Oryzias latipes: one gene and its partner. The protein of the gene in region 2 binds, or shares a complex with, the protein of the main gene of each other region. Links are inferred from orthologs where the notes say so. Each region holds a gene or a part of one and is shown on either strand. Other genes may lie near its edges.

Evidence for each region.
Region 1: gtf2h3 (region 2) and gtf2b share a complex: the UniProt entries of both Homo sapiens proteins name them as parts of the TFIID-containing RNA polymerase II pre-initiation complex. The link is inferred for Oryzias latipes from reciprocal best matches to the Homo sapiens genes GTF2H3 and GTF2B.

Annotation. Positions count from the first base shown.
Region 1 is NC_019875.2:5,816,452-5,831,929, forward strand, and holds gtf2b (transcription initiation factor IIB), read right to left. Parts: upstream 12,311-15,478; 5' UTR 12,232-12,310; coding exon 12,215-12,231; intron 11,568-12,214; coding exon 11,455-11,567; intron 9,738-11,454; coding exon 9,604-9,737; intron 8,505-9,603; coding exon 8,358-8,504; intron 8,044-8,357; coding exon 7,914-8,043; intron 7,484-7,913; coding exon 7,202-7,483; intron 7,028-7,201; coding exon 6,894-7,027; 3' UTR 6,334-6,893; downstream 1-6,333. Other genes in the region: pkn2 (serine/threonine-protein kinase N2), read left to right, coding at 800-976, 1,095-1,157, 1,229-1,305, 2,181-2,323, 2,392-2,499, 3,490-3,570, 3,659-3,862. UniProt on the Homo sapiens protein: General transcription factor that plays a role in transcription initiation by RNA polymerase II (Pol II). Involved in the pre-initiation complex (PIC) formation and Pol II recruitment at promoter DNA.
Region 2 is NC_019867.2:12,036,717-12,053,012, reverse strand, and holds gtf2h3 (general transcription factor IIH subunit 3), read right to left. Parts: upstream 8,966-16,296; 5' UTR 8,741-8,965; coding exon 8,732-8,740; coding exon of another isoform or gene 8,731-8,731; intron 8,657-8,730; coding exon 8,573-8,656; intron 6,281-8,572; coding exon 6,174-6,280; intron 6,015-6,173; coding exon 5,872-6,014; intron 5,633-5,871; coding exon 5,570-5,632; intron 5,271-5,569; coding exon 5,241-5,270; intron 5,153-5,240; coding exon 5,124-5,152; intron 5,053-5,123; coding exon 4,978-5,052; intron 4,712-4,977; coding exon 4,658-4,711; intron 4,451-4,657; coding exon 4,382-4,450; intron 4,307-4,381; coding exon 4,171-4,306; intron 4,089-4,170; coding exon 4,052-4,088; intron 3,926-4,051; coding exon 3,856-3,925; 3' UTR 3,587-3,855; downstream 1-3,586. Other genes in the region: psmd9 (26S proteasome non-ATPase regulatory subunit 9), read left to right, coding at 1,628-1,753, 1,831-1,930, 2,185-2,378, 2,458-2,559, 2,748-2,836, 3,058-3,085; Rieske domain-containing protein, read right to left, coding at 9,902-10,189, 10,336-10,370, 10,499-10,720, 12,609-12,681; uncharacterized protein LOC105354722, read left to right, coding at 14,448-15,169, 15,290-15,452, 15,617-15,714, 15,842-16,060, 16,155-16,242. UniProt on the Homo sapiens protein: Component of the general transcription and DNA repair factor IIH (TFIIH) core complex, which is involved in general and transcription-coupled nucleotide excision repair (NER) of damaged DNA and, when complexed to CAK, in RNA transcription by RNA polymerase II.

The DNA of each region.
Region 1 (15,478 bases), on a different chromosome or scaffold from region 2:
CCGGCACAGAGGCAACTGGCTTGCAACCCCTGTGGCTAGATTAAACTCTTTTTGCTCCTGAATTGTTTTAATTCCTCTCTTAATTTATTTCATAATTTAACCCCTCTTATTGATTTGCAAAACTTTTTTAGTTATATTTATGGAATAGCTTTTAGTTTGAATTGATCCCTTGAAGACAGCTGTCCGTCTCTCCTAAAATCCATGGAAACTGGACCAAACGGTTGAAGTCCTTTGTTCTCTGATGTCTGACATCGAGCACAAACACCTGCATGACAGGTGACCAACAGTTTCAGCCCCACATTGTCCTGAGGGGGCTTCATAAACAAACAGGTGTCATTAGGGTGGTCCCACATCTCAGCTCTGCCATGTGGACCTTCAGCTGCTTTCATCAGGTTCCTCTGACGCCAGCCGTGGGGTCTCACCAGTGCAGCGTTCGAGTCCCGGTGGAGCACCACTGCTGGACCTGCAGAGACGGTTCTGAGATGGTTTCTCAGGCCAAAGCAAGGAAGATGATTCCCTGTTTGGTCTTAGGACACACATCAGCATCCTCTCGCAGTCAAACCCAGAAATAATCAATCATAAATACTTCTGAAGCTTTCCGTGTTGTTTTTTCAGCTGCTGTGACGTTTTTCAGAAATGAAAGCTAAACTTGAGCGTTTGTCCTTCCGTTGATGAGCTCCTGGTAGATCTGCTGGATTACTGCAGGGGTTCTGAAAGCCTCCTGGGGTCCCGGCTCAGACCAAACGGGTCTTGACGGCGTTTCTCTGGGAATCATTCTGGTTTCTGTCTCTGTCCTCAGCCTGATGTGCGAGAAGAGGATCTTTGAGACGGTCAACAGCGTCCGCCACCCCTTCCTGGTCAACCTGTTTGCGTGCTTCCAGACTCCGGAGCACGTGTGTTTTGTGATGGAGTACGCGGCGGGAGGCGACCTGATGATGCACATTCACGCCGACGTGTTCTCAGAGCCGCGGGCTGTGTGAGTGGCCGCTCCGCCCCGCTCCTCCTCCTGGCGTGGCGTTGACAGTAAAGTGCATGAAAAGGTAGCCAGGCGAACGCTGGTCTGTCGAACTGACGCCTTCATCTGATCTCTGCAGGTTTTACGCTGCCTGCGTCGTGTTGGGGTTACAGTTCCTGCATGACCACAAGATCGTCTACAGGTAAAGTTTTAGCGTCGCTTTTGTGTGATGTGCCGCTTCGTTTGTGACGTTGACCTTGTAACTTTGCTCAGAGACCTGAAGCTGGACAACCTGCTCCTGGACACGGAGGGTTATGTGAAGATAGCAGACTTTGGGCTTTGTAAAGAAGGTGAGATGAGAATCTGTTCTAAAATGTAAAAGTTATGAGATGAAGTGTTATTTTAAACATGTTCTTTCTCTGTGAACTGTTTGCGTTTGGAGCTCAGACTGAAGAGCAACCAGTCGTCCATCACAGCAGTTGAAGCAGCCGTTAGCGTTCTAGCTGCTAAGTGCTAGCAGAGCGTGGCAGCAGAAGGCGCCACGTTCTGCGGGCACCGCCTCGCATCAGGTGGAGCGGCGGCTGGCGGTTCAATCAGACTGAAAAATGCTCTAAAAATATCGAATGGCGTGTATTTCTTTAACCTTCCTTAAAGGTCGTAAACGCTTTACAGCCACATAAACACACCGCTAGGCTCCGCTGCCGAATTCGGACGCCAACCTGAAACCACCAGGAGCAATGTGGGAGTCAGTGTCTTGCTCAAGGACACTTCAACACATGGGCGTGCAGAGCGGGAACCAAACCTGTGATGTTACGATCAGAGGTGGACCGCTGCACCCCAGCCGTCCCATAAATGAAATCCCGGCTGTATCAGAGCATCAGCTGAGTGCCGCTCACTGATTGGCTGAAGAGTTTTCACTTTGCTACCTGACACACGCAAACTGAAGGGGCAGCGGCCGACCAGGTGTTCAATGATCAGACATGGATGGACCCCGCAGAGGTGTGACCTGTCCCAGGTGAAAGTCCTGCAGTTCCAGCGGCTCCTGGTCGGGAGGCGCGGTCCACATTCCTGGCGATTTGGGTTTTTCCATTCATGCTTCATGTCCGAGTGAGCCTTTGGGGGGGGGGGCAGAGTTTCCCTGTGGATCAGAACCCTACTTCCTGTTCGGACCCAGAGCGTTCTGACGCGTCGGTCCTTCTTTTCTGAACGTCTCTGCTTCCTCTAGGAATGGGCTACAGGGACCGGACCAGCACCTTCTGTGGGACCCCTGAGTTTCTGGCCCCCGAGGTGTTGACAGAGACGTCGTACACGCGCGCCGTGGACTGGTGGGGGCTCGGCGTCCTGATCTTTGAAATGCTGGTTGGAGAGGTGAGCCGTGTGTCCTCAGGCCGCTCAAAGAGTCAACTCTTCATCACCAATCCCTCATTTGCTTTCAGTCTCCCTTCCCTGGTGATGATGAGGAGGAGGTGTTTGACAGCATCGTCAACGATGAAGTGCGCTACCCACGGTTTCTGTCCACAGAGGCCATCTCCATCATGAGGAGGGTACGCGGTCAGCATGAGGGAGGAGGGGGGTCACGGCTGAGCGTGTGCTGCACGCGCTCAGTCCACCGTCACGCACCAGAAATACTTGCTTACGAACGCAAAACAGACAAACGCGCTAAATCTGAACTCAACCCAACCTTCCATGCTGGGAGTCAAGCAGGAAGGCATTGGATTCAAACCTGCAACCTCCCAGTCAGGGTGCAGAAGTTACCACCTCTGCTAGAAAAACAGAGGAATTACTACAAAGTGTGTTAAAAGCTGGCTGAGGATCAAACAACACGTGTGTTTTTAGAGGAGCAACGCGTGTGTGGCATTCAGACAGGGAGGCCGATTGTGCAGGTTTGGTCTGTAATGTTCAAAGAAAGGACACAGTTCCAGAATCTGCATCGTGGATCAGAGCATTCAGTGGGAGAATCTGGGACTAAAATGGTTCTTCATCGTCCCGGGTTAAACTATATCCATAAAGATTTTCATATATGACCTTTGGAACACTAAAGAACCATTTTTAATAATGTTTTATTCCTGAGTTAATTTTCCTACCAGGAAGTAATACGACTCGATCCCTGAGGCTCCGCCTCTCTCTCTTTGTGTGTGCCGCCCATTTTATGACATCATCAACAGTGTGTCTGTGTTTCTCCCACGAAAAAAAACTTTTCCAAAGATGGATGTTCATATTGTTTATACATAAAAAAAGCGTTTAGCCGATCACCGCTAGCTCCTCTGAGAAAGTGGGCGTGTGCGTTAGCCTGGAGGCGGGGCTGGAAGCCCAGACTTTTCCTGGAAGGGGTGGATCTCAATTAGTGATGTCACAATATGAGAACCTGCTCCTTTGCATGGATTGGGCGGGGCTTTTTTAGGGAAATACTCAGATCAAAATACCACTTTGGAGTTGATTATAGTGAGGAATTAACATTCTAAAACACTTCAAAACTTAAAAAGTTGATTGTTGTATGATATCGGCCCTTTAAGTTTAACCTTTTGAACTCTCAGCTTCTGAGGAGGAGTCCAGAACGGCGTCTGGGAGCAGGAGAGAAGGATGCAGAGGAGGTGAAGAAACATCCCTTCTTCAGGGTGAGCTTGAGTCTAGTCCGTCTTGGTTTTAATCTGATTGATCCTCAAACTGAAACAGAAAGCTGAACTTCCCCTGCTCCCCGTACAGAACATGGACTGGGGCGGGCTGTTGGCCAAGAAGGTGAAGCCGCCGTTCGTGCCGACCATCCAGGACGCCAACGACGTCAGCAACTTTGATGAAGAGTTCACCTCAGAAGCTCCCATCCTGACCCCCCCCAGGGAGCCCCGGATGCTGAACTCGGAGGAGCAGGGCCTGTTTTCGGACTTCGACTACATTGCTGACTGGTGCTGATTTCACCCCAACGTACTGTGAAGAGCGCAGCCTTCTTCCGGAGCGCCTCCTCTTTCCTGCCGACATGGAGAAAGGAACCGTGTGCCATTACAGGAGTCCAGGAGAGGCCTGCAGAGGACAGCGGGCGTTTTAACCCACACGAAGAGCTGTTTTCTCTTTTAAAGAACAAATGAATGACAGTGACAGACTGACGGCGGCGGCGGCGTCCGCTGTCTGACCACTGAGAATGTTTTTACCCTGGAACGCTGAGGAGACGCTTCCACCACAACCACGTCTGTAGCCGTGTTCGTACCGGTTGTCCTGTGCCGACTGTTGCTCTGCAGACGACTTGGCCTCATCTGGGTTGAACAGAAGTCTCCCATCAGTCACTTACAGCAACCTTGACTACTACTTCTTCTTCTTGACTTGAAAACCAAGCGAGCCTGAACGCCACACTTCCCTCCTGGTTGTTGGAGTTCAGGTCGGTTAACCCATCAGGCCAGCCGGCTCTGCATCCCACGACTTCCTGCAGAAAGCAGAAACTTTTCAGTTCAAATGCCTTTGGCGCCCTCTAGTGGCTCCGCGTGTTTTCATTACCTCGACACAGTTAGCGGGCGGGACTGGACCCGGTCCAGCTGCCAAAACCAAAATGAGCTCAAGGGGAAGCGGCTCCATGAAGCCAGTGCAGACCGCTGCCGTGTTTCCATGGAGACCGTTTTAACGTGGCGTTGTTGAGAACAGCAGTCTTTCAACGTGACTCTGACCTGTTGACATGAATCACTTCGGGGAGGGGGGGGGGATATGTTATATACATACTGTATGTACACAGTTGAGCTGAAAGCACTAATTTTATCTGTAGTTAAAGTTTAGCAGTTCCTTCATGAGAATAGATTGTACAGTTGTTTTCTGTCTGAACGGTACACCCATCAGTCCCACCTGCTGCCGTTCGTCTCCTCTCACTGTTTGTTACCTATCATGAATGCACAAATTAAACCTTTGGAATAGTGGCTCTGCTTTCAGCCATGATCTGTAAACTCCTGAGGTCTGAAACATCGGCATCACCTCCTGCTGCTCTGCACTAAAACTCTCAAACCTTCTGTTTCAAATCATGATGCAAACCGATTTTATGTAACCCTTGTGCTATCCTGGGCACTTTAACATTGGGAGTTGGGTCATCTAGACCCACTAGACAGTGCTCTGAACCTTTTTTCTTCAATGATTTGTGATCCTCACTGGTGTCCATGGATTAAATGAAATCTTTCCACCTTTATCCACCTTTGTCATGGTAGGGAGAACACGTCAATGCAAGGCTGGGGTCATCTAAGATAGCACAAGGGTTAAGGGGTGTATGATTAATCCATTTTTGTGCCTACGACCCAATCAGATCCATCTGTCTGAGGCAAATCGATAATCAGGTTGACTTATTCCATTAGGAAATCCTTTCAAACTGAGAAATTGATCATCTGTAATGGAAGATACCATCTAGATTGAGGTGGGGTAGGTTTATGTTATTCTAAGATAAAAAACGACCAATCACAGCAGACAACACTCATGTGATGTCATTAACACGGATCAGTCCATCATTCCAGTCCAATGTGTGGAAAGACTTTGAATAAAGTCATGTGACCATCCAGTGTCTAGAATGTTCCCTTTGGATTCTCTGGATGTGGAAAAACAACAGTGGACTGAACTTTAGGAAACTAAAATTTGAATGGATTTAACATTCATTCTAGTTGATTTGTTTGTTTGTTTGGACACAGATTTCATTTCCACTTGATGATCTGGAAGAAATCCAATAATCTGGAAAACTTCACTGTTCAGTAGCAGGAATTTCTGTCTGAGTCTCACTGCTGGAAGTTTGGATGAAGATGATCTGGATCCACTTTAGGTCAGAGGATCAGAACGATCAACATAAAACCATGGTACCCGTAGAGTCAAACATCGACTGTTTTGTCTGCTAAACCACTGAATGCTTTTGAGGAAATTCCACCAGAAGTCACAGGTTCAAGGAGAAAGAACAGGTCCATGTTTATGTGCAACATTTGAAATGTTGATCCATGTCATGAAAACCTAAATCTTATTGTGGAACAGAAGGAATTGGTTAAATTTAAAAAATCTGATGGATTTTTGCAGAAATAAGAAATTTCAGATGAGATCAACAGAGATGCAGGAGACTCCAGGGGGTCCGGAAGAGACTCCAGGGGTCCACAGGAGTTTCTAGGGGTCCACAGGAGACTCCAGGGGTCCACAGGAGACTCCAGGGGTCCACAGGAGGCTCCAGGGGTCCACAGGAGACTCCAGGGGTCTGGAAGAGACTCCAGAGGTCTTCAGGCGTGCATAAGGAGTCCACCGCTCTGAACGGCTCAGGCCTTCCCAGAGGGTTTGGTGGAATGAGGCTCCAAATAACTGAAGGTAGGAAATATCTTTGGCAAAAGCTTTTGATATTTTTCAATAAAACGTAAGCAGAAACTTCTTAAAATTTACACAAAATGTAAGAATTCCAGTTTTATCAAAAGATTTTACATTTTGAACCTCTGGTTATACACAGGAATCTGAAAGTGTGAGTTACGTCTTTGGGGTAAAGAATCCATCAGTGAGAAACGTAATGCTGAAGACAAAGTTGCTCACAAATTTGTCAACATTTTACCGTCCTTCAGAAACATTTCAGCAGAATATTTGCAGAACTTTACAAGATGAAGATTTTTTTATTTTTTATAAAGAACCGTTTATTGTTATTCAAACCACGAGATGATTCATGAAAATCGTCATCTTAAATTACTAATTCAAACAAAATAGAAGCTGCTTCTTTTCTACAAAAACAGTCTTAGGGGTCGAGTCTGACACCAGCCTAAAACTGCGAGCATGGCCCCCCCCCTCCGGGACATTTACACATGGTACAGTCTGTACACACAACTGAAATACTAAACAACAGTCTGGAATGTGTGTCCACTTTATTCTGTCGAGGGATCCTTCCTGGCTGAAAAATCCTCCCACCTTCACAAATTCAAAAGCAGAACCAGAGACGGAGGAAGAGGTTGGAGGTTGGTCTTCCTCACAGCTGGGGAAGCTTGTCGACGGGGGTGTCAAACTTGAAGTCGGGAGGGAAAAGTTCAGCAGCGCGGGGGTAGATGAGCCTGTAGGACTGCCTGATGGTGACGTCCGCCACTCCAGCAATGTCTCCAATTTCTGTAGAACACAAGAACCCGGTCTGTAAACTATCCAGAACATCTGCTCCAACAGGAGAGGATGGACCCAAACGGTCCCCAGCCTCATGTTGCGTTTAGGTGCAGACGGACCTTCTCACCGGTCTCTAACATTGGTAACATTGACATTTGGGTCATTTCTGTCGTGTGGTCTCACCTTTCTGAGTCTTCTTCTCTGCAGACGCCTGAGACGCCATGTAGATGGCTGCTGCCGCCACGGAGATGGGGCTTCGACCCGGAACCAAGTCCAGCTCCACGGCCTTCCTCGCAATAAAGGTGGCCGCCATTTGAACCTGCTTGGGCAGGCCCAGGTTGGAGCAGAACCGGGACATGAAGTCCCCCGTGGTGATGAGGTCCACGCTGGTCTCCAGAGCCTTCAGGATCAGCTTGAAGCACCGACCAATCTCTTTCTTGGAGATTCTGGAGACGGCACAGATCTCTGCAGAGAAACGCTGCCGTTAGCTTGGACGTGTTGAAGAAATCTAGGGATGGCCAACATTTGCAGTTCAACGGTATCGGTCTGATATTAAAAAATCTACCGATATTTTTCTGACTGTTTTCAGGCAAATGTTCTTTTTGATAGAGATATGTGTTCTTAATAGATAGACCTAGTTGAGGGGGAGTTTATGGTTACAGTTATGTCCAATATTCAATAAATGCTCTGAATGCTGTCAAATATATTTACATGACGGTTTTAAAGTGAACCATGTTCCTATGAGATTCTGTGCTGTATGTTAAAAAAGTCAAAGTGATTGTCCAGCAACCTCTGCGTTGTTGTAGACACTTGAGTATCTGCAGACATCACCCATCAGCTGCAGGGGGAATATCTGTTGTCGGTATCGGATTATTATTATTATAAACTGGCTGACCTTTGAAGGTTCTGGGGACTCCTTCCTGTCTGCAGGCGATGTAAAGGCAGGCGGATGCGATGGCGTCGTTGGCTCGGCCCTTCAGGCTCTTCTGCTCATAAACTTGCTTGAATAAGTTGTTGGTTCTGTCCTGCAGAGCAAAGACGTTTGTGAAGCTCAGACTGGAAGTGTCATGGAGGCATGAGCAGTCAGGACCCATGCAGAATGTTTCAGGCCTCTGAAGAGGCCTCCTTCTTCCTAGGACCTGAACCTCAATGGTGTTCAGCTTACATGAAAACCTTTATCGTTGACCTGCTCTTAGGCTTCATGCGGTTTTTAGACATGAAGGAATATGAAATCTAACACGGCGTCAGCAGCAAAGAGGAGGGACAGGAACCGAAGTACGACCGCGCTCAGAGGGCGGGACTTAAACGGTCAGCTGATGTGCTCAGATGTTCCACTCACTACGATGTTCCGGGGCAGGTTGATGCGGTCGGCCATGGTGCTGATCTCTTTGAAGGCGTGGAGCATGGCCCGGTCCGAGCTGCTCATGGTCCGCCGGTTCTGATACTTGGAGTTCCCAAATTCATCAAAGCTTGCAGACCCGGTTCCCTGGAGAGAAGAACCCAGAACCCACATGTGGATGAGCCGTGTTTCACAAGAAAGTAACTTTACTGCAACATGAAAACCAGCAGCAACATGAAAAGCAGAAAACCATCAACTTCATGGTGAACGCACAGATGAAAGACATTCACCCACAAGAGGGGATACGTGCCATCCAACCCTCCCTCCCTCCCTCCATCCATCCCTACATCATCCAACCATCCACCCATCCATCCATCCATCCCTACATCATCCAACCATCCATCCATCCATCCCTCCCTCCATCCATCCATCCATCTATCCATCCATCCACCCACCCCTCCATCCATCCATCCATCCATCCATCATCCAACCATCCATCCATCTATCCATCCATCCATCCATCCATCCATCCATCCCTACATCATCCAACCATCCACCCCTCCATCCATCCATCCATCCATCCATCATCCAACCATCCATCCATCTATCCATCCATCCATCCATCCATCCATCCATCCCTACATCATCCAACCATCCACCCCTCCATCCATCCATCCATCCATCCATCTATCCATCCATCCATCTATCCATCCATCCATCCATCCATCCAACCATCCATCCATCTATCCATCCATCCACCCCTCCATCCATCCATCCATCCATCCATCTATCCATCCATCCACCCCTCCATCCATCCATCCAACCATCCATCCATCCATCCATCCATCCATCCAACCATCCATCCATCTATCCATCCATCCACCCCTACATCCATCCATCCATCCATCCATCCATCCATCCAACCATCCAACCATCCATCCATCTATCCATCCATCCACCCCTCCATCCATCCATCCCTCCATCCATCTATCCATCCATCCACCCCTCCATCCATCCATCTATCCATCCATCCAACCATCCACCCCTCCATCCATCACCTGAACCACAGCTGTCACTCTACCACTAGGGGTGCAATGGATCACAAAAGTCGTGCGAGGTGCACACGAGGAGGTGGGGGGGTTATCTGCAGTAGACATGTGTGCTGAACCGTGGCTAGAGATCCGTAGGAATCATCCGTGATCTGTTGGACCCCTATCTACAGCTAACCACAGGTCTGCTGTCCCACCTTGCCGATCATGGTAGTTAGATCTCCTCCGTTGAGCAGAGGGTTCTGGGCGTCTCCCACTCTGGATGGATCTTTCTGAGCTTTCTCGTTGGAGAAGGTTCTCCACTCTGAACCCACATCAATGACCCGGTCACCTAAGGACAGAAGGCGTGAAGAACCAGAACCGTGATGTTAGAAAGGCTGAGTGGAAACTTTGATTACACGCTGAATTACTTGTAATTGATTTGAGCAACAATCTCGTTTTTCTGTTTAAACCGTACTTTGACGGTTCTGGTGGATATTTGTTGATGTGCTTTTGGTTCTTCTTTGACGTTTCTGAGGGATAAATTGTGCTACACTGATCTGTGCACACACTGCAGACGTACTGCTTTGTACTGTTGTGTGTAAATGATGCAGATTCATCATCAACATTAAAATAAGACAATCAGATAAAGAAAATGAAAACTGTGGTCGTTCCAGATCAAAGTCCTGGAGCTTTGATCTTTCTTTGGAGGAAAAATGGCTGAAAATAGATCCGTGATGAGAATAAAATGGACTTCCTTTACAGGTGACATAATTACCATAATTTCCGGACTATAGAGCGCACCTGATTATAAGCCACACCCATTACATTTTTAAAGGATAAACCATTTTGTACATACATAAGCCGCACCTGTCTAAGCCGCCCGCATGTGCCCACATTGAACCATGTGTTGTAGAATGGATGTGTACGTGCTGAAACCGCTCGCCGGCGTGTGTGAGAAAGAGGGGGGAGCTCGTGCAGCGGGATAGGAAGAGGGAGCATTCTCATTCACTCACGCTCCTTCCCCCTACACACCCAGTGTGCTGACACAAACACATACTCATTCTACAACACCTATGTAGTTAGTTCATTAGGTAGATTTAGTTGTTACTGTTATTTGTTAAAGAATAATGCGTTGTAATTATTACTTATACCGGTATTTATTTGGAAACCGCGACACCGTGACTTCTCCTGCTTCTTCATCACCGCGGTGATCAAAAATCCCACACCGTCACAGCTCTATTCCAAACAGTGCCTGTGACACGGCAGTAACACGGCAGCAATACGGTAGTAACAGCACTAACAGGGCTGGTTAAAAAAAACATCGTGGTAGAAGTCACTGAGAGCAGCAGTAACTTATTGGCGCTCGCCTCTGCGCAGCACGAACTTCCTGTGCACTGAAACCATGGAAGTCTTCCTCCTCAGTGTCGGATTGGAAAAGCGTCAGATATTCTTCACCACACACGCTCTGTGTCTCTCCTTCGTTGTCGCTGTCAGTGTCACTCTCATCCTGAGGTAAATTCTCTCCTGAGTCTGCACTGTCCTCTCTGTCACGCAGCAGACCGGCTTTTCCAAACCCGTTGGTGATGGTGGATTTTTTCACACTGCTGTTAACCATTGCTTTTAACTTGAAAGCTGCCTCATATGCATTTCTTCTTGCATTTTCCATGATGAGGGTCTGTTCGTGCTATTCATTCAGAAAGCGGGAATTTACATTAAACTTGTGTCTTCCTCGACACATATACCTTATCCCCCGTCTCACTCTTTCCTTTTCTGCTCGAGCGCCCCTAGCAGCCGTTAGAAAAAATGCATAAATCAGCCGCATCATTGAATAAACCGCAGGGTTGAAAGCGTGTGACAAAAGTGGCGGTTTATAATCCGGAAATTACGGTAGCAGGGAAAAAAAAGCTTTTAGGTTTGTTCAAAGCGCATGTGAAGGTCTGACTGTGGAGGCCAGGTCACACAGAACTCTTTACAGCTTCAGCATCAAGACAAACCTCTCCAGCTATGGACCCATTTTACCTCCAACAAATGTAGGCCAAGTACAGGTTTATCATTGAAGTACTCACCTACAACAAGCCCACACTCGGGGCAAATCATGTCCCCAGCGCGGTAGTCCTCCACCAGGATGGCATCAGGATGGTTGGGACATGTCACTCTGGGTAAACTGAGAGCATCTCCGCTGCACAAGCAAAACACAAATGATAACAAAAATGTTAAAAAGGAGCACAAAAACAACAAATAAATGACGAACAAAGAAAATCCCTTAAAGTCGATGTTCCGCTACATTCTCCAAGGAAGAAGCCAGACACCTTGATAGGATTAACAAATATTTATTAAGTCTACAAACAGCCTATGTTTCCAGTATTTATCAGTCGCCTGGTTCTGTAGTTGCTTGTGTCATCTACCCACCAAAACAAAACGCGTTGAATTATGGGAAATACCCATTTCACGATCGCTTCAACTTTCCTAGCATAAAGAAATATTAACGAGTTTAAGTCCCGGTAAATGTGCGGACGTGCGCGTTTCCACGGAGTTTCAGGCTGATCCAGAACTCCTTCAGGCCAACGTTCAGATGTCAGAGAAACGACAAAACCGGGAGTTCTAACGGGCAGCCTCTTCCGTGAAGCTGCCCGCGAGCTAGCTGGCTGTCACGGACGGAGTACAAAAGACTGAACATTCCCGAGAAGAAAAATGGAGCCCGACACTTTCTACCGCCAGAGTCCCACGGTCAATCACAAGACGCGGTGGTTTTTTACCACGAGACACTTTGAGTCACATTAACAAAGAAAACCGGGCTTTGAACGGTTAGCAGCCATTGCAACTCACCGACTTGTCGAAGCCATCTTCCTCCGCTCTCTTCTCCCGGACGGATGCAGCACTTGTACTTATAGACTATTCTGATCACGTGACCAACTACGGGAAGTCAAGAAGGCCAAATAAGTTTAAAAATAAATAAATAAATAAAGTCAAAAATATTGTGTCACCTTTGGTGAAAAAAATAAACCTGTCCCTTTCTTTTACATTTCAGACCCAAAGCGAATAAATCATCAGACTACATTGCCTGCAATGTTGTTGCCGTTTACACATTTGACAGGTCTACTAGAAAGTTGAAGTTGGGTGATCTTCTTAGTCTTCATTCGTGTGTTCATGATGAATACACACGTTGTGTGTTGTTGTGTTTCAGCTTTTCAGGTTTATGTTGACCCCACAGAGACCTTCAGACACCTGATCGACCATGAGGGGCAGGCTTTGGCCCCTCGCGGGCCAAAGGGTTGATGTGTAAATGAGCTTAGTTAAGGTCGGGGTAAACTAGTCATGGTTAAATTTGGGTTGGGGAACTGTTCAAACCTGAGTGTGTGCTTCAGTGTCTTTTTTTCTCTTTACATTGTTTTTTTTCTTAAGCTTCTTTCATTTATTTTTAAGCTAGCATTACTAAAACATTTAACCAATAAAAACAAGTTAAAGACCCACTTTAATGGAAATCACGTTTTTGGTGTTTTTAATATGTTCTAATGGCATTTTTCTCATGATATGATATGATGACATATATAGAAAATTAATCTTAAAACTGCATTTCTGCCCCAAAAAATGTTTTTTTTAATGCATTACTGTTCACAACACATAGAACAAGTATGTATGACAAGAACAATAGTCATAAAAACGGGACTGCCAGGGGATGGCATATATTACAATAGAAATATTGTAAAACACATCACAATACATTGAATATGTTCAAAGACAGAGAATTTTCATAAATACGTATTCCCTTTTTTGTTTGTGCTATTAGAAATAGTACATAAATACGATTCTAATTCTTTAATAAATACAGGGGGGAAAAGTTGTGAAATTTTGATTTGTTGATGTCTAACTTACTTTATATTATGATTGGATTAATTTTCAATTTTATGTTTGATTTTATGTTCTTTTTATGTAGGCCAAATATGATTCATTCAAATTTCATCTGAAATTGTGAGTCAAATTTGTGATTTATAAAACAAGTACATTCTTTCCAAAACTTTTTTGTAATATTACAGTTCCAAAATAGGTGGCTGATTGTTTCTGGGTGTTCTTAACAAAGAGTACAGTTAGGATTTGAAAAAGCTTGTAGCAGTGACGTAGAACTTGCAACGGCAAACCAGAAGCTACCTGCTCCATTCTGATCATCACCTGCAGACAAATAGATCCATGAACATCTTTGTTTTCCTGGTGTCAGATAAATGCATCTAGACATTAAAGAAAAACACAATTAGAAAAAACAGACCACAACAATAATCAAGTTTGTCATCCACGAGGGAGAAAAGCAAATGTGGCAGAAAATGTCCACCACATTTCTCTTCTCAAATGACTGCTTCTCCCCGTGCTCCTTTTATTAAGAATTCAAGTAGGAGGTAACAATTTCCAGACAAATAGAAAAGTTCATTAGGGGGTGTCGTATAATGACCCATTTGGGTGGATTCTAAGTTCAAACAGTATTCTTTATCAGCTCAGGACAGTGTGTCGTTAAAGCCCCTCATCCTAGCTGGGGATGAGAAACAGATGAACAAACACAGAACTGTTTTCTAAAAAGGTAAAAAGGTAGCTCTGAGTTAACATTTAAACATACATTTAACCAAATACACTTAAACAATGATAATAATAAAACAATTTCGTTCACACCTGGTCTGAGCTGGAATCTGGATCTAAACTGTACGGATGGATAGGTACGATATTTCTGCCATTTTAGTTGCACTGATAATAGATGTGTACATCCATATGTGGTCTTATCACCCTCTCACGGTGGAAAAATTATTATCTGAGCTTCTTCATCCACTAAATCATCTTCAAATGGACACGCCATGCTGCTTCACCTCTCTGAAAACAAACTAACCTTCAACTAAACCTGCTCCAGACCAGGTTATGTTCAGAGCATGAGTTTCTATGAACTAAGCATACCCTGAAACATACCACTGTTTTTGGAACCGAAAGCTGAGGTTATCCACTTCCTTAGCCTCAAACTTACTGTGGTAACTAGCATAACCTGCTTTCTGGAATACCCCCCTGGTTTTCCTCCTTCAGAGCAGCCTAAAGCAAAAGGTCAGCATTACTTGAACACCGCCATGTGCAACAGCAGATGGAGCTATAACCGAAAGAAACTTATTTGGCTATCCAGTTTCCCAAGCTCACTGTTTTCAGAAGAAGACTGTGTTCTCCTTTTAACGGACAGAGCTGCTCGCCGCCATCATTTAGCAGTCAATTGAATTTAAAGGCTCACCGCTGATGTCAGCTTGGATCAGTGACACGACAGCGAGTCACAGTCTATTGTCACACACGGCATCAGCAGAGCTGAGCAGCCATTTATGACTCGATTTGTTTTGATGGATTCAAAAGACATGCATTCTAGGAATTCTGAGTCAGTCAAAAAGTCAAAAGAGTTCCTGCCGCATCTGTGCTTGTCTCAGAAACAAGTCATGACATGATGGCGAGCATGTGCAACAGGCAGACTTAAGGAAAACAATTTTTTCTTCAGGTTTTCTTATCTTCCTTCAGAAATATGAATCATTTCCTGAAGGCAGCATGCCACCTAAACTCAAATATTAACATTTTTGCAGTTCCTGATGTTTTAATTAAGCAAACCTCATGCAGCTACTGCATTCCTTCAGCCTACCACAAGACCACACATGCAGCCCTTCAGCGCAGAGCCGATGCGAGCTGAAAGCAGAGGTCTGTGCTGGGTAATTTACAACAGCGTCTCATGGGATAACTCGGTAAACTGGTTGCCAGGACCATTTCAGCAGCTTTCATTTAAAGGCCAACCCAGACAGGAAAACCACAGTGATTAACCATTAAACCACATACCTCACATGCACCTCTTCTTCTTCAACCACTAGCATGCCATTGCACCACACAAAAAAGCTAAAAACCACTTAATAATGAATCAAAACATCTCCATTACATTCGTTTCTGTCTAAGATTAACTATTTGGCACAAATGAGACGGTCCGTTTTCATGTGGAGTTTTTAGTTCAATACGTTCTTGCCTGAAAGCACGTTTTGGAGGATAACATAGAAGAAGATGACACCCAGCCGTGAGTAAACATTCTTGTGTCTCACT
Region 2 (16,296 bases):
TGCCTTTATTTTGAAACTTTTATGTATGTGAGACTTTATCAACAGATAAAACATTAGAATGTTGTGGGCAGAAAATGTTTTATCTGGCCTCTAATGGAATGAAAGATTCCTAAGGAAAATGAAACTATGTATGTTTTTTTTAAACAAAGATCTGAAGTGAAGAGATGCTTTGTCACATAGTATGAAATCAGTTATCTTTAATGCCAGAAAGTCAAAAGATAATCAGACATTTTTGTATGAATTTAATAGTATTTCTATTCTGGAAGAGTGGATGAAAGTTGTGGATATCTAGAAATGCTGTAATGAGGAACTTCAGACTTTTAATGTATTTATCTGTTGTAGAGCAGCATCAGATTCACTAAAGGAAACTAATGGAGGCTGGTTTTGAGGCTGATTTTGTGCTGGAGCAGTTTTGGTAAAGTTGTCAATGTCAAAATATGCACAAGATAATTCCCTTACAGATTTTTCTTATCAGCAAATAAAATAAAAGTCTCCTCCATGGTAGCTTTAACATTGATTAAGAATATCATTCTTACATGATGCAATTACATTTAATTTAATCAATGAAAACCTTTTATTATAATTAATTTACCCTACTAATGGGCATTAGAATGAAAGTTCAGGGCATTGACTTGCAGATATTTAAAAAAAAAAAACAGTGGAATTTATCTTTTGGGGATTTAATGGAATTGTAGTCACTGTGCAAAAACAAAACCACCCCCCCTCCACGCACACACAAACACACACATTTGTCCCTTTTATGATATTTTTAAAGATGTGTCCGTTCTGCCAACATCATTTGAATGCACAGTTTTCACAGCCATCCTCTTAATCCTAGAAACCCACAAAATCTGGAAGCGGTAGAAAGAAACAACATTGAAATCTTACGGTCACTTTTGATGTTTAATATTAAAGAGATACTGAGTAGACAGTGAGGAACAACACATCTATAAACATGAATTACTGCTTTGTTTTTTTTATTTTTTTATTTACCAAGGCTGTGTCCCACCAAGGTGGGGTAGCCTAGACAAGGCACACAATTTTAGCTCCCTCTGTCTCTTCCCCAAACCCTCCTCCTTCAGTGTGTGTGTGTGTATGTGCGTGTGACTGGTCTGAGGCCTGGTCTAAGCCACACCACACTGCACCAGGGTCAGCTGCACACTCCAGTGTGGGCACCTCCACAGCAGGGCCTCAGCCAAGGCTGGTTTCCCCTTGCCGCTTCATCCCAAGACCAGACCTCTACCACACCCATCCATTCATCCATACACAAGCTCTCTCCACCCATCCCTGTCCTGAGCAGCCTCTCTCCCTTGCACCACAGTCATCCCTCTTGCATTCAACGCTCTTCTTACACCCTCAGTCCATCCCATTAGCCGGCATTAATCATAATTTATATTAAAAAACAGGATACCAGCACTTAAAAGCCACATCGCAGATGTCATGTCAGAATCAGGTAGTTACATTTTTTTAAATTCCCAATTTTCTCATGTCGAAAAGAAATAAAAAAAATAAAATGTTTACCCTCCCAACCAAAAGGTGGCGGTAATGCATCAATCTGTCAACAGCGTTCAATAACAAAGACGTGCGTCACAAACCGGAAGTCCAGAGCTAATAGCCATCAGCAGAAATGAAGATGACAGAAGAAAACTCTCTTGAAAGGTTAAATGTAACGATGGATGATGTGAACGCTATGATTAAAAAAAAAGAAGAAATTGAGGAGCAGATAAAGGCGTACTATGATGTCTTAGAGGACGTAAGTTGGACACAAAGTTACATAAACTCTTTGGGTTTCGAGTTTCCAAAATCAATCATTCTATCGGTTTTTTATAGCAGGGGGTTGGAGTTGAGGGTCCACTGGTTGACGCTGAGGGTTACCCACGAGCGGATGTGAATTTATACCAAATCAGGACGGCGAGACACAACATATCATGTAAGCATAAGATTTTTGAAACACATTTTATTGAGCTTGTTGTGTATAGAAAATAAATATAACATTCAACAATCCGACGAAGATCATGATCCTGTATAGCTTGAACCAAAAGTTCAAAACTTATAGTCAATAAGAATTTTAAACAGCAAAGACTCTTTAGTTTAACTATTTATTTTTGCTGTATTTTTTTTTCTTCATTTCCCCCCTTTTTTGTTAAACTTTTATGGCAACAGACGTTATTTCTTTGTTTTCAGGTCTGCAAAACGACCATAAGGCCATCATGGCAGAGATAGAGGAAGCCCTGCACAAGCTGCACGCTCGAGAGAAGGCCAAGCGAGAACAGGACCAAGCAGAAGCCACAGAGGAGCCCATGGAGCAGCAGGTCACCCTGCCTCCTCCTTTTGCACAAGTGGACACCGTGACTGAAGGTTCACCTGCCTCTGCAGCGGTTAGTGAATTTTAGCTTATTTTGTATTCTCAAAGAAACTATTTATACTACTTTAGATATCTTTTTTTTCCCTTAAAAGGGCCTCAAAGTTGGAGATGAAGTCATTGAGTTTGGCTCTGTAAACACCAAGAACTTTCAGAACCTCCAGAATATTGCATCTGTCGTGCAACACAGTGAAGGGGTAAGTTTAGATGTTGTCCTGCAGGTTTATATTGAATATATTAACATTTCTATTTTTCTTCTAATAAGTCTGTTTTGTTGCCACAATGTATTTTGCTTTCAAATTAAAACATTTTTCTTAACAAATTTCTGTTAATTCCATAAGAATTTAACTAAAATGGGAATCTCTTCATCGCGTTTCTGTTGCAGAAAGCTCTGCGTGTCACGGTTGTAAGGGCTGGCCAAAAGGTTCAGGTGAATCTCACCCCACAGCGATGGTCCGGCAGAGGTCTGCTGGGGTAAGTAAAAAGCATCTTCACTGTTACAAGCCCTTGTTTGGATCAGTTCTTGTAGAACCAGCTTGATCTAAATTTAAAAGGGGCTAAAAAACAGCCATTTTATGAAATGAAATACTGGTAAACCAATCCTTTACCATACTTTCTTATTGCTGTTTTTGATTTTTTTTGAATAGCTACACCTAAAGTCAAAACCTGTTCATGTTTCTCTTTTCATTTTTTAGATGCAACATTGTTCCTGTCCAGAGATAAACTACACAACTTACATTCTGGAACTTTTCCCCCACTTTCCTTTTTGAGTGATTTCCCAATGACTTTGTATACAAGAGCAGAATATGGGACAATAAAGAACACTTGAGATTAAATATTTGGCAGACAGTTTTCTGCATTTGCAAAAGTTGGGACTGTTAGTTTTCCCTTCTGCATAACAAAAATAGATTTAGATTTTTCTATATTCTTCATCTTGGTTGAAATTAGTGACTGACTTTAGGATACAGTGATTAAAGAAAAAATAAAATAAGGAAAAATATCTAAAACAAAATGCAAATGCTTTGCAATAATCTGAAATTGTTTGATTGAATTTGGCTTGTTTTTTTCATTAGATTTTTCACCCCTTTTCATGTAATGGGAAGAACTTTTTTGTGTTTGCAGTGTTAAAAATGTCATCTAAAATAATAAAAAAAGACAAAATTGCAACCTGTGTTCTATAGATTCCACACAATAATGCTTTTGAGACAATCAAGAAAAACGAAATTTTAATTCAAATAAAATTATAGATTTTATTTATTGAATCAAAAAGTACAGTTTTTTCAATTTACAAGTAACAACTAAGATATGGGCTGAAAAATATTTAACTTAGCATGTTCCTAAGTCGTCTGTGACATTGGTATGAATGACAGGTGAAAAGTCTGTCTTGACATGTTTGCATTTTCCAGCCCGTTTAAAATTTCAACAAATCTAAAACTACAAAAGTTTTTTTAAGTGACGACAAAGAAGTGGTCTGAATAACATTGGAGGGGCAATCATGCAGGCATCTTGAGTTTCTTCTTTTTAGGTTTGACCATCTGTGGCAGTTGGATTTTAAAGGCAGTCCTGAAACAACACAAAACGAGACTGAACAGTCTAAATGCACAAAGTTCAATTGGTGCTAAATGTCCCATTTACTGGCAGTACAATTTAAAAGCCGGATTTGGTAGCTTGGAAATGAAAAACACTTACTCGCATGTTGTGCAGATCGGGCTGAAGTTACAAAATACTTCAAGAAGAGATGAGAATGAAGTGTCAGTATACGGGGAATTTGTTGCTGAGACCTCATAGTGTGGCAGTAAATCACTCACTTGAAAGACAAACAGAGCATACATAACCAATTTCGATGAGATTACGGTGGCAGAAGCACGCTGCTCTGTAATCTACATGCGCAGGGGGTGGCAATACTAGCTGGGAACGCTGCTCTGAGTCTGGGAGGAACACCCACTGGGAATAAAACACAAAAGTATGGACCTTAAATCACATGTGCTGCACCAAAGCAATGCGAAAATTCACTCTTACCAAAAGATACTGAGTCAAAGCTAATTTTTGAGGTATCTTCAAGTACAGGCCTCCAGTTATATCACAAGCCTAGAAAACGAAACAAAAACCTCTTTTCAGCTCTGGTAGCGGAAATGCTGTACAACTGAAGAACAAGGAGGCAAAACTCGGTCCTCCTGAATGTTGTTGTAACCCACATCAGCTGGCAGTAATCCGTTCAAAAATGATCAATCCTCTTTGTGCTGTAAACGGTGACACTAAGCTCTAAATGAACATGTCGGAAAAAAAAAAAAGTACCTGCTGAAGAAGCCCTGAGTCTGAGTCCAAAACACAGGCATCTATCAGGATGTTCTGTTTCAAAAAGAAGACAAAAATTCCTTTATGATGACTTTATACACAAACGCACACATACACACAAGGCCATTCACACCAGATCAAAGCCCACAGTGGCATGTAGTTAAAACAAAAAAAAGTTCTATCATATCTGGTTTTACAGCGTGACGTCAAAGTCTTTATATTAAAGTTGTCACTGACGTATTTGACAGTACGTTTATTTAACAAAAACAGTGCATATTGAGTGGAGATTAAAACACGTGAACCTGATTTCTCCAAGTTACCTGCTTTTGTGCAGCAAAAATGACATTCATGAAGTTCATGTATTGAAGAGCGCAGTCCTCAGCTGCTTTGATCACCTGTCCAAGACAGGAGATGAGCTCAGGGTCTGACGTTGTCAGAAACACTCACAAATGACTTTAGGACTTACCAGTATTCTTGATTTAATCTCCTGTCCAACTAAAAACACAAATAAACGCAACTTATTTTGTAAGGGAATAAAACAACAAGTTCAAGTCAATACCTAGTCCAAAATGAGTAACATTACCGTCAAGTTCTTTTGAGACCCTGTAAATATCTGTATTCATTAGCATTAAGGAAAATGTATCAAACAGCTCACATTAACATTTGTTACTTTATAAAATAGGAAGATCCAACCGGCTTCTTTTCATCAGGGAAACAAAAATTGGGCAATTCTTAGGGAAAAAACACAAGTTTCCACCTGTTTTTCAAATAAGCAGCAAAAGTATGTTAGTATTTTTAGCCCTTTTACACTTCATCCCATATATGATGTGACCACAGAGGTATTATAAAATAAACTGTTGGTGTGGATTTGTTTTTTAGAACGACAACAAACAGAATAGATTGTAAGGATACAGCAGAGAGCTTTGGCAAGAGATCCGGCCAACAGAGTATCCGTGGAATTGCCCCTCACTTCAGCTATAAAGAATTACAAGCATTGATTAAATAAAATACTCAAACCACACTTTTAATTATTATTTTGACTATAACAACACATTTTCAGCAAAGAAAGCTTTGTCTGCTTATCATTTAACCCTTAGATGACCCCAACCTTGCATTGACGTGTTCTCCCTACCATGACAAAAGTGGATAAAGGTGGAAAGATTTCATGTAATCCATGGACACAAGGGTTAAAAAGAAGAATGCGTGTAATTTACTTTTTGACAGGACATTTCGGATCTCTTCAGCAATGGCACTGTTGGCTACGGCCAGGAGCTCGTACTTCCCGTCTCTGCTGGAGGATGTGTCCTCTGCAGCTCCGCCCCCTCCTCCCAAACTCTTACTGGGATACAGGAAGTGACTGAATGGACAGAGATCAAACAGAAGCCATAAAAGCAGCAGAACATTAACCAGTCGGTACTTTATCTGTGGAAACTAAAACGATTTCAATAAAACAAACATTTCAGTTTTAGTGAAACTATTAGCTTGCACTAAATATATGTTAAAAACAGAAAGTTACCTGTCTTGGCAGTGGCTGGCAATAACAGCCAGTTTGTTTGTTCTGGTCAAAGCCATGTGGGAGTTTCCCATCACCATGACTCCATCCAGGCACTTGGACAGAGTGAACTGGACAATGAGAGAAAACAGTTTTTTCTCCAATATATATTGTCGAATTTCAAATATTGTGGATCCAATACATTAAAAAGGTCATGAGGGCTTCCTTTAGCCCTACTTCAGTTAATAGTCCGATTTTTAACTTTGTTAGGCCATTCTGGCTTTTAACAAAGCCATCTGTGGCATTTATCAATTTATACTTTCAACAGAAATAAATTAGGATATAATGCATCAAAACAATAGATGTAGAATAAATAAAAACCACATACTTAGCGGTTTTAAAATTCTTCTTTAGTGAAGTTAGTTTAAGGTGTTATTAGTCACCATGAAAACATACAGTGGGGCAAAAAAGTATTTAGTCAGCCACCAAGCTCTACCACAAAAAAAAATGAGAGGCCTGTAATTTTCTTCATAGGGAAAACCTCAACTACGAGAAACTTCTTCCTCTTTCGGCTTTTCCCATCAGGGATCGCCACAGCGAACAAGTCGCATGGTAAACTTGGCAATGTTTTACGCCGGATGCCCTTCCTGACGCAATCTTCTCAACGCAACCGGGCTTGGGACCGGCACAGAAGTAGAGAAGGAAACAGGGAGCAGCCCGGATTTGAACCCTGGTTTCACGGACGGAAGGCGCCGCAAACCAGCACGAGCTAAACCGGCTCCTTCACCTACGAGAAACAATAAGAGAAAAGAAAAATCCAGAAAATCACTGTCTGATTTTTTTTTAACAATTTATTTATAAATTATGGTGGAAAATAAGTACCGGTTTGTGGTTAATAAAGAAAGTTCAACTCAATACTTATTGTATTCTTATTATTTACCCTTTGTTGGCAATGACAGGCATCAAACGTTTTCTGTAAGTCTTCAGAAGGTTTTCACAAACTGTTGCTGGTATTTTTGGCCCATTCCTTCATGCAGATCTCCTCTAGAGCAGTCATGTTTTGGGGCTGTCGCTGGGTGACACAGACTTGCAACTCCCTCCAAAGATTTTCTATGGGATTGAGATCCGGAGACTGTAACGGCCACTGCAGGAACTTGAAATGCATCTTATGAAGCCACTCCTTCATTATTCGGGCAGTGTGTTTGAGACTGTTGTCACTCTGAAAAACGCATCTCTCTCCGTGTCATTCACGAGGTCCCCCTGTGTGGTTCTGGGATTTCTGCTCACTGTTTTTGTGATTACTTTGACAACACGGGATGAGATCTTGCAGGGAGCCCCAGATGGGGGGAGATTATCAGTGCATGGTAATGTATGTCTCCCATTTCCTAATAATGGCTCCCACAGTTGTTTTCTTCTCACCAAGCTGCTTACCTATTGCAGATTCAGTCTTCCCAGGCTTGTGCAGGTCAACAATTTGGTTTCTGGTGTCCTTAGACAGCTCTTTGGTCTTGGCCATAGTGGAGTTTTGAGTGTGACTGCTTTACGTTGTCGACAGGTGTCTTTTATAGAGATAACGAGTTCAAACAGGTGCCATTACTACAGGTAACGAGTGGAGGACAGAGGATCCTCTTACAGTAGAACCAGAAATCCTGCTTGTTTGTAGGTGACCAAATACTTATCCACCATAATTTACAAAAAGAAAATTCTTTAAAAATTAGACATTGTGATGTTCTGGTTGTTGTTTTTTTTTCTTTTCGTTTTGACTCTCATAGTTTAGGTATGATGAAAACTACATGAAAATATGATGAAAATTACAGGCCTCTCATCATCTTTTTAAGTGGGAGAACTTGCACGATTGGTGGCTGACTAAATAGTTCTTTGCCCCACTGCATACTAGGTACACAATAAACCTGAAGTTTATTTAGAAAGTGACATTTCCAGACTGATGCTACAATCTCAATCTCTGGGTTGCTCATCAGATTTATCCCTATAATTATGAATACATAAATATCAACTGTTAGTTTAATGAAATTTCACATTTAAAATACCGTGCTTCAGAAATCAAGATGAAAATTGAAGCACCATTGAAGTGATCTAATCCTTTGAAAAAGGAAAAGATCAATTTGGATGTGGTCAGCTGTACTCAAACGTATGTATAACTATAAACAATATTTTTCAAAAGTTGTCAACGAGAATAAACACATCCTGACTTTAGTGTGGTTGTTTATTATTTAAAAAGGCATCAATCAAAATTACGTTTAATTCTTAATTATTCCAATTTTTGTTTTCGTAAATTCTGCGTTTCTCTTTTTTTTAATTGATGGATTAGATCTATATTTTATGTGTTGTCCTTTACTTTCACTTTTATGCTTTTCATGTAGTAGATTATTTATGGGGTGGAAAAGAGAAAGAAGTGATGGAACCTCTGGTTCACGCTGAGCTTGCTGGCCCCACCAGATCGGATTCACGTCCACCACGATGACCAGCAAGTTCACTTCATCTTCTGCAAAACACGCGACGCGAGTGGAAGTGAGCAAAAGGAAAAACAAAAAACAAAAGTAATGTGAAAACCAAGACATACCTGATGCCATCACGAAATGTCATGAATTCAAGAATCAGAACTTAGTGGGTCTCCGGGCTTTAACTATTTTCCTTCCTCCATTCATTAAATTATACACCAGCTTACACTTACTGAAAAAGTTTTACACTCTTTTTTTTTTTGTTGCTAATATGAAAAAAAGTGCTAAAATAAAAACGAGATCCTCCGTCTTACCGTTGGCGCATACTTAGTGCGCAGCTTCTTCTTCTATTACTTTACAAAAAGCCAATCTCACTACTGCCACCTAGTGGAAATTATGTTTCATTTTTAGAGCTCTGTGATGTGATTGCTGTCTTTTTAATAAAAACAAAATTTAAAACGTTTATTATAAACCTAGGTTATGTCAGGATAAAATTGTACAGAAAAAATCTGACACGTTTGAATCCCGACAACAGCAAACTGACACATGAGGTAAGAAAGAATCACAATGAGTCATGAATCTGCTTGCTTGAGCAGCAAAATGTATTTTAGATGAACATTGAAACTTTAATTACGCTGACGCAAATAATCTTGTGATAATATGACTTTTCTAAACCAGGCCAGATTGTAAAAATTGCATTTTCCCATAAGTCAGCAGATCTTTTTAGCATTCCTTGGTGATCACAACATTGGAAGCTTAAAACTTTGCAATAACTGGTTCCTGCTTTTAATATAAATGCTGAAGATGGTAGAGGTTATGTAGTAGTTGAAATTTTTGTGACTTTTTAAAGCATTTATTGTGAATTTTTCAATTCAAGTTTTTGACGACTAACAATGACAAACATATTCTGTGATTATTATTTTATGTAACACAGCTGTCAGGATTACTGGCACCGTTATGCTGTAAGTACAAAAATAAAGAGTCAAATTTGTACAATAAAAAAACATATTGTTAAAAGAACAGACAGATTTGCATATTAAAATAACGTTAAACACAAACTCAATCAAACTTCGTAGGAACTATGGATGGATAAGGATCTATCTTTTTTATCCTAGACATGTTTAGGGTTCTTTACAATAATCAGTGATAGTAAAAAAAAGAGGATTTACAGCAGACAAAGCATTTACAAAGACACTTCTAAAAAGGGAAAGTAAAAAAAAAAATAAACAAAGCTACCTGATTAGCACAAGAACAATTAAAGTATCTTTAGTTAGACAGTGAAAACATTTTTTTTTATTGTTTTTTGGGTACCGGTTGTCCTTTCAGTGTAACAGGCCTGTATTTTTCAGTCTGATAAAAGTCAGATTCAATGGCCTCACAAGACTTATTCAGTGTTACAAATACATCCCCATTGATTTCTGTGACTTTATGAATCCTTTGTTTGACGCCTTTGGAACGCCAGTGAGTCCTCGGTGGCTTTTTGGTAGGATCATCCACTGCCTGGTAAAGCCCTTCCCCTTCTGCCAGGGTGATCTTGTAACTGTGCCATGGGCACACTATGCACAGCCGTCCATTAAACTCCTAATAACAGTAAGACATGAAGCTTGTGGTTAACATAACAACAAAAAATACTATTCAGAAGTTTTATTCTACAAAGAAAAACGTGTCAAGTGCTGTCTGACATGGTTAGGAACTTTTCTACTGTGCTTTTATTTCTATAAACTCACCTCGATGTCTCCATGCTGCAATTCACCACCAGAGTCTGTCAGTGGGAGATAACATGAGTTATTAGAGACTGTAGTTTTTTTCAGTATCATAGAAGGAAGTGCATGCCACGCCTCAAAATAATAGTTTGCCACACAGCGTATTGCTCTGCTGCTCAAAACTTACGATAACACCGCTTGTCCATTGCATAAAGCTGTCTATCGTGGTACAAGATGAGCACATCTCTACATCCGTTTAACAGCTTGGTCAGTCGCCCAGCCTTGACAATTTCTTCCTTCTTTCCAACATAGTGCAAATTGGGAGGAGATGAACACGGCGAGTCAGAGAGAGATGACACTGAAGAAGGACGATGGGAAGCCTCCTCCTCCTCAGATGACATGCTGATCCCTTCAGAGAACAGACGCCGCATAAGTATCACTTTTAAGGAATTTCTTTTGTAACACTTGCCACTTTTCTTCCAGTTGTGACACGAAAATAAGTTTTTGATAAAAACTCAACTGTGTTTGATAGAACAGTATAAAACCGGCTATGCTGAGTCAATCAGATATCTTTGTGTACTAATAATTTCCAAAATAATAAATTATGTGCAAATGGACATGCATTAATTTCATGTCCTTTTATTCTTTCTTTCTCTTTTAAAAATTACAGAGCCCTGGGCATGACATTCAAAAAAATTCTCTCTGATTAATAATTTGTGGCCACTAATCAGTATTTTGTGCACACAAACAGTAGTAATAATAATAATAATACTAATATTACTATACATGCATCTGAGAGATGTGTTCGAATCAGGTAGCAAGTTCTGTAAGTAATGAACCACAATTTTGTCATAAGTTATCCCTTTTTATTTATTAACCAATATCTATTTGAACTCAAATTCTATAATTTCTTTAGATTTTTTTATATTGAATTTTAGACATTTGGGTGTCTCAGAGTATGTGTTGGTCTGGGGAGTATTCCAGGAAGCATATTTAAACTACCCTGACTTTAAGCCTGAACTCTGGCTGAAATCCGCCTGAACTTGGTATGTTGGTTCCAAAAGACCGGATATGAGTTGTGGTAATTGCGCTCGACCTTGTAACCTTGGGCTAATGCGCGTGCACGGCAAGTACATAAAAACATTCTCAATGGATCGCCGATTTCTGGAGTCACCATGGAAACGCGTGGAGAAAAAAAGTTCAACCTAATTTCTTACGTCTACCCAACTCAATATTATTTTTACAACTCAAATTTACATATTCATCTAACTAAATGTCATATTACTCCAATTCAATTAAATGTTTTTCCATCTTAATTTATTGTACTTCTTGAACTCTCATATGTCTAAGTTTGAGCCTACAGATATACTAATTTTATAACAATAAAATTTCTCAGACTTTAACATTATGTCTCTAGGTAATACGGGTGCTAAATAAACTCATCATCCTCTTCCTCCCTCTCACTCATGGTGCAGAAAGAACTAAACATAACAGGACAAATAACTGGGCAAAACACAGTAAAACAGCTAAACAACTAAACACATTTGGACAAGAACCCACACTTAAACCCAAATCCGTCCAGACAGGCAAAGGGAATGGTATCCCACAATTCCTTGCGGTGCTGATCTAACAGTAGCACCAAAGTTAAACTTACTTAATTGAATTAATTTGAATGAAAGTAAAATAACTATGTGTTATTTTTCAGCTGACTTATTACTTAACTAAAAAAAAAGTATCTTAACTGAAGCAAATAATTAAGTTAGATCAATGTAAAAAGGTTTACAACATCCATATCATATGGTCTTATCACCCTCTCATGGTGGAAAAGTATTATCTGAGCTTCCTCATCCACTAAATCATCTTCAAATGGACACGCTATGCTGCTTCACCTCTCTGAAAACAAACTAAGCTTCAACTAAACCTGCTCCAGACCAGGTTATGTTCAGAGCATGAGTTGCTATGGCAACTTGACATACCCTAAAACATACCTTTTTTTTAAGAACCGAAAACTGAGGTTATCCACTTCCTTAGCCTCAAATTTACCGTGCTAACATGCATAACCTGCTCTCTGGAATACCCCCCTGGTAGTACTACTACCTAGTTATCAAATAAGTACTTCTTGCAAAACGCCTTTGCTGGGATTTAAGGAGTTAAAAATTTAACTTTATCCAGGCTAACATGCGATTTATCAAACTTTAGCCACTGGTGTCTTATCTTTTTTAAACAGACTTTGTAAAAATAATAATAATAATAATAATAATAGTAATAAAATAAAAAAAGGTAAGTAAAAATCTTACGGTGAAGGCTGGTGTTGTGTGTTTCATTCAATGATGTCCCCAGTGAAACACGGACCGGTTTGACACAAGCCATTGTTTCCGGACCTTAATTCTCCCATTTATTTTTATTTTTCATTTGACTTCATGTTATAAATTTGAAGGAAAAACAAGCAAAAAAAAAAAAAAAGCACACAAGCAGACAAAAAAGATATTTGGTTAAACATTTGGCCAGTTTTAAAATTTATTTTAAAAATGTCATCAAAAATAAATATAATCAATAACGTATCCACAATCTTTCTAATCAGAAAGAGTAAATAACACCATCTGATTTTATGAATTCCACTTTGTTTTCACTTGGTTTAGTCTGCTCATTCCTGGTCTGTCGGCTTAGACTCTTTGAAGGATTATCTCTGTCTCTGACTGCAATGTTGATCTGAGCATCGTCTCTCTGGATTTTCTGCCTTTGTTTGCAACATTCCGGTCGAGAAAACTAACGAGGGCAGCAAAGAAATTAGCGTTCTTCGCGTCGCCATGGAAACCTACTTGTGTACGGATGTGGAAATCAGGCAAACCAATCTGAAGGATAATTAATAGGTTTTGACACCTCAACCCTGCATCAGTGGTAATAGTTTTTATTGAAGTAATCATTGTTTTTGTTACTAGTTTCCTAAGCATTTTAACTGTTGTGACTTAACATACAAAATTAAACTTAATTCAGTAAGATTAATTAATATAATTTACATCTATAATTGTTTCTACAAGAAAGTTATTCATGTTATTTTGCTTGAATGTTATCAGTGAACTCAGAACAGCAGGAGGGTTTATTCATCTCTGTGTTATGGTTGTGGTTTCTCTTTATTCTGGTTTCTCTTTATTTTATTTATTTTATTTCCACTGGTGTTTGTCTTTGTCTATTTTATTGTGCAGGGCTAATTTAATGTATTTTATTGTATTTTATTGCATTTTTTTTGTTTTTATGTACAGCACCTTGAGCTGTCTTTGTTGTCATGAAAGGTGCTACATAAATAAAATTAATTTAATTTAATTTATTGAGGCACTGAAATTGTCAATATAAATCAAGAAATTAAAGTTTATCAAATCAATGAATATTTATTGAATTATTGCTGGCATTGATGTGCTCTGTCTTTAGAGTAAACAATATTTTAAGCCTCTCAGTGGAACCAGCTTGAAGAGGGTTTTAGTCTTGCCATATGGCAACTTTATTTAGGCTTATGGGTAATCTACAGTAGGAGTAAAGTGTTGCTCACCCATGTTATCTATATTTATCTTATTTGCCACTGTAAAGAAATGTGTGATGACTGCACAGTGCTGCTTTGGCACTGTCCTGCACAAGTATCAAATTTCCACCACTGCATTACGCCACTGCATGCTTTGCCTAGGACCAAGCGAGCATGCCGGTTGCAGTGACAAAGTGAGAGACCATTGGCTGTAATTCTGAGAGAAATCCTTATATTTAGTTTTTCCAGCATACCTACTAGGTTGTAGTTTTTTAATTAATTTTGATCCATGAATATGCCACCTGGCTGGGCATTGTTTTTATCTAATGTGACCAGTTAATGAAGAAACCAAAATGTATTTTTTCTTCTAGAGAGCAGCCGGAGAATAGGCATGAGATGACATGACCTTTTGGTTGTACGGGTGTTTGAGAACCTTTGGACTAGAACATCACTATGCTAGGTGAGTAAATGTAGGACATCAGCGGAACTGGTCTTTCATTATCTAAAACTGTTTTCCTCTTTGTCTTTTACTGCCTTTAGGTTCATTTTGTTGGGTGTTTTTCATGCAGACCACCTTTGAGCATTGAAAATAGAGGATAATCCTCTCCTAGGAATTCGCTCAATGGAAGATTGGATCCAACTTTTCCATTTGGTCAACTTTGACAAAAATATTAACCCAAACTACGGATGTGATGCTCAGGACTTTATACCAATAAATGGGAAACTCAGTCAAAATTCCCATGAAACTTCGGAAGACAAAGTGAGAAATAAATGTAGAAATTCTCAGGAAATCACGGATACGTTACCTTTTAATGTTTGCAGACGTCTCATCTTAACTAATGAAAACTCAGCCAACGTGAGGCTGTTGTCTGGTCTATCTAGTCTTACACTATCTAGTCCTGTTATTTATGTCAGTCAAAGTCATGATGTAGAAGATGGTTCAATGAAAGTAAGCAGATTGAACAAACCTGTACAGCTTGAGATTGATGGCAAACATCTGGGAAAATGTGTCCGGAGAAGGACTAAGAAATACAAACTGGAGGATAATCGTTCTCTGGGTAATGATCATAATAATGACACCATAAAGTCAGAATTAACAGGAGGAATTCGGAAGTTTAACTGCGATACCATATCAACAAAGAACAGCAAGATATTACACAGCCCTGCACACGTGACACCAGAGTCGTGTAAGAAAACATTTGAAAATAAATGTACAAAAGTCTCCACAAAAGAGAAAATGTTGAATTCAAGCTTGACTAAGCCCCCACCTGTACATGGAGCAAAGACAACAAACAGCTACAGCAATATTCAGGCCTGGAGTTCTCCCTTTGCTTCAAACAAAAAGTAAGTTGCATCAAATGTTGTTACTGCTGTTTTTTGGTTTATTTCTACTTTGTTCTCATTCAATAACACAAAACAAATGCTTCTTGCAGACTTTAAGCTTTTATTTTCTTTGTGTGACAGACAGACTGTTGGGCAACAAATTACTGTTTGTGTGAGGAAAAGACCTTTGTCACATGCAGAGTGCAAAGGAGGAGAAGTTGATGTTGTGACAGCAACAGACGGACAGTGTGTAATTGTACATGAAAGCAAAGAAAGTGTGGATCTTACACCCTACATATTACAGGTAGACGTGCACATAGAGGATGCTGATGGATCCTTGTACTTGAAAAATTTCACACTTTTGTGGGGGTTTTTTCTACATGCACACATGCATTGTTTCATTTGTTAGATGCTAATTTTGTGCCAGTTTTACTGATTTCTTTTTCCATCTTGCCTCTTAAACTGTAGCAAAAGTTTTACTTTGACCATGTTTTTGGGGAGGAAAGCTCCATCAAGGAAGTATATCAGAAAACAGCTTATCCTCTGGTGCAGCACATGTTTAGGGGGTAGGTAAGCACAGATTTGCTCACACTAAAATTGTGCATTATCCACCTTTCTCTCCAATTCTTTTATCAGACTCTAGTGTCCAAATCTCTCTTTTGTTAGCTTCTCGTTTGTGTTATGTGTGTGCAGAGGAAATGCCACATGCTTTGCATATGGACAGACAGGGGCGGGGAAGACCTACACCATGCTGGGGTCATCCGCTGTTACACCTGGTCTATACACTCTGGCAGTTCAGGACATCTTTGCTCACCTGACCACTGCACATTCATACCCACCCCTCCTGGTGTATGTTAGTTTCTTTGAAATCTACTGTAGTCAGCTGTATGACCTGCTGGATCACAGAAAAAGGTGTGATACAAGATTTAATATGCTGAGACTGTTTGGTGATATTCTACATTTAACAAAAGTTTTTTCTCTTTAAACAAATTTCTGTTACATTGAGGTTGTTTGCCAGAGAAGATGGACAGAAAGTCGTCCATATTTCAGGGCTGCGTGAAATCAGAGTGGACTCTGCCAATTCCCTACTAGAGGTTGGTTCTCTCTGCTTTATGTCACGCTCTGTTGCCCAGTTTTTTACTCTAGTT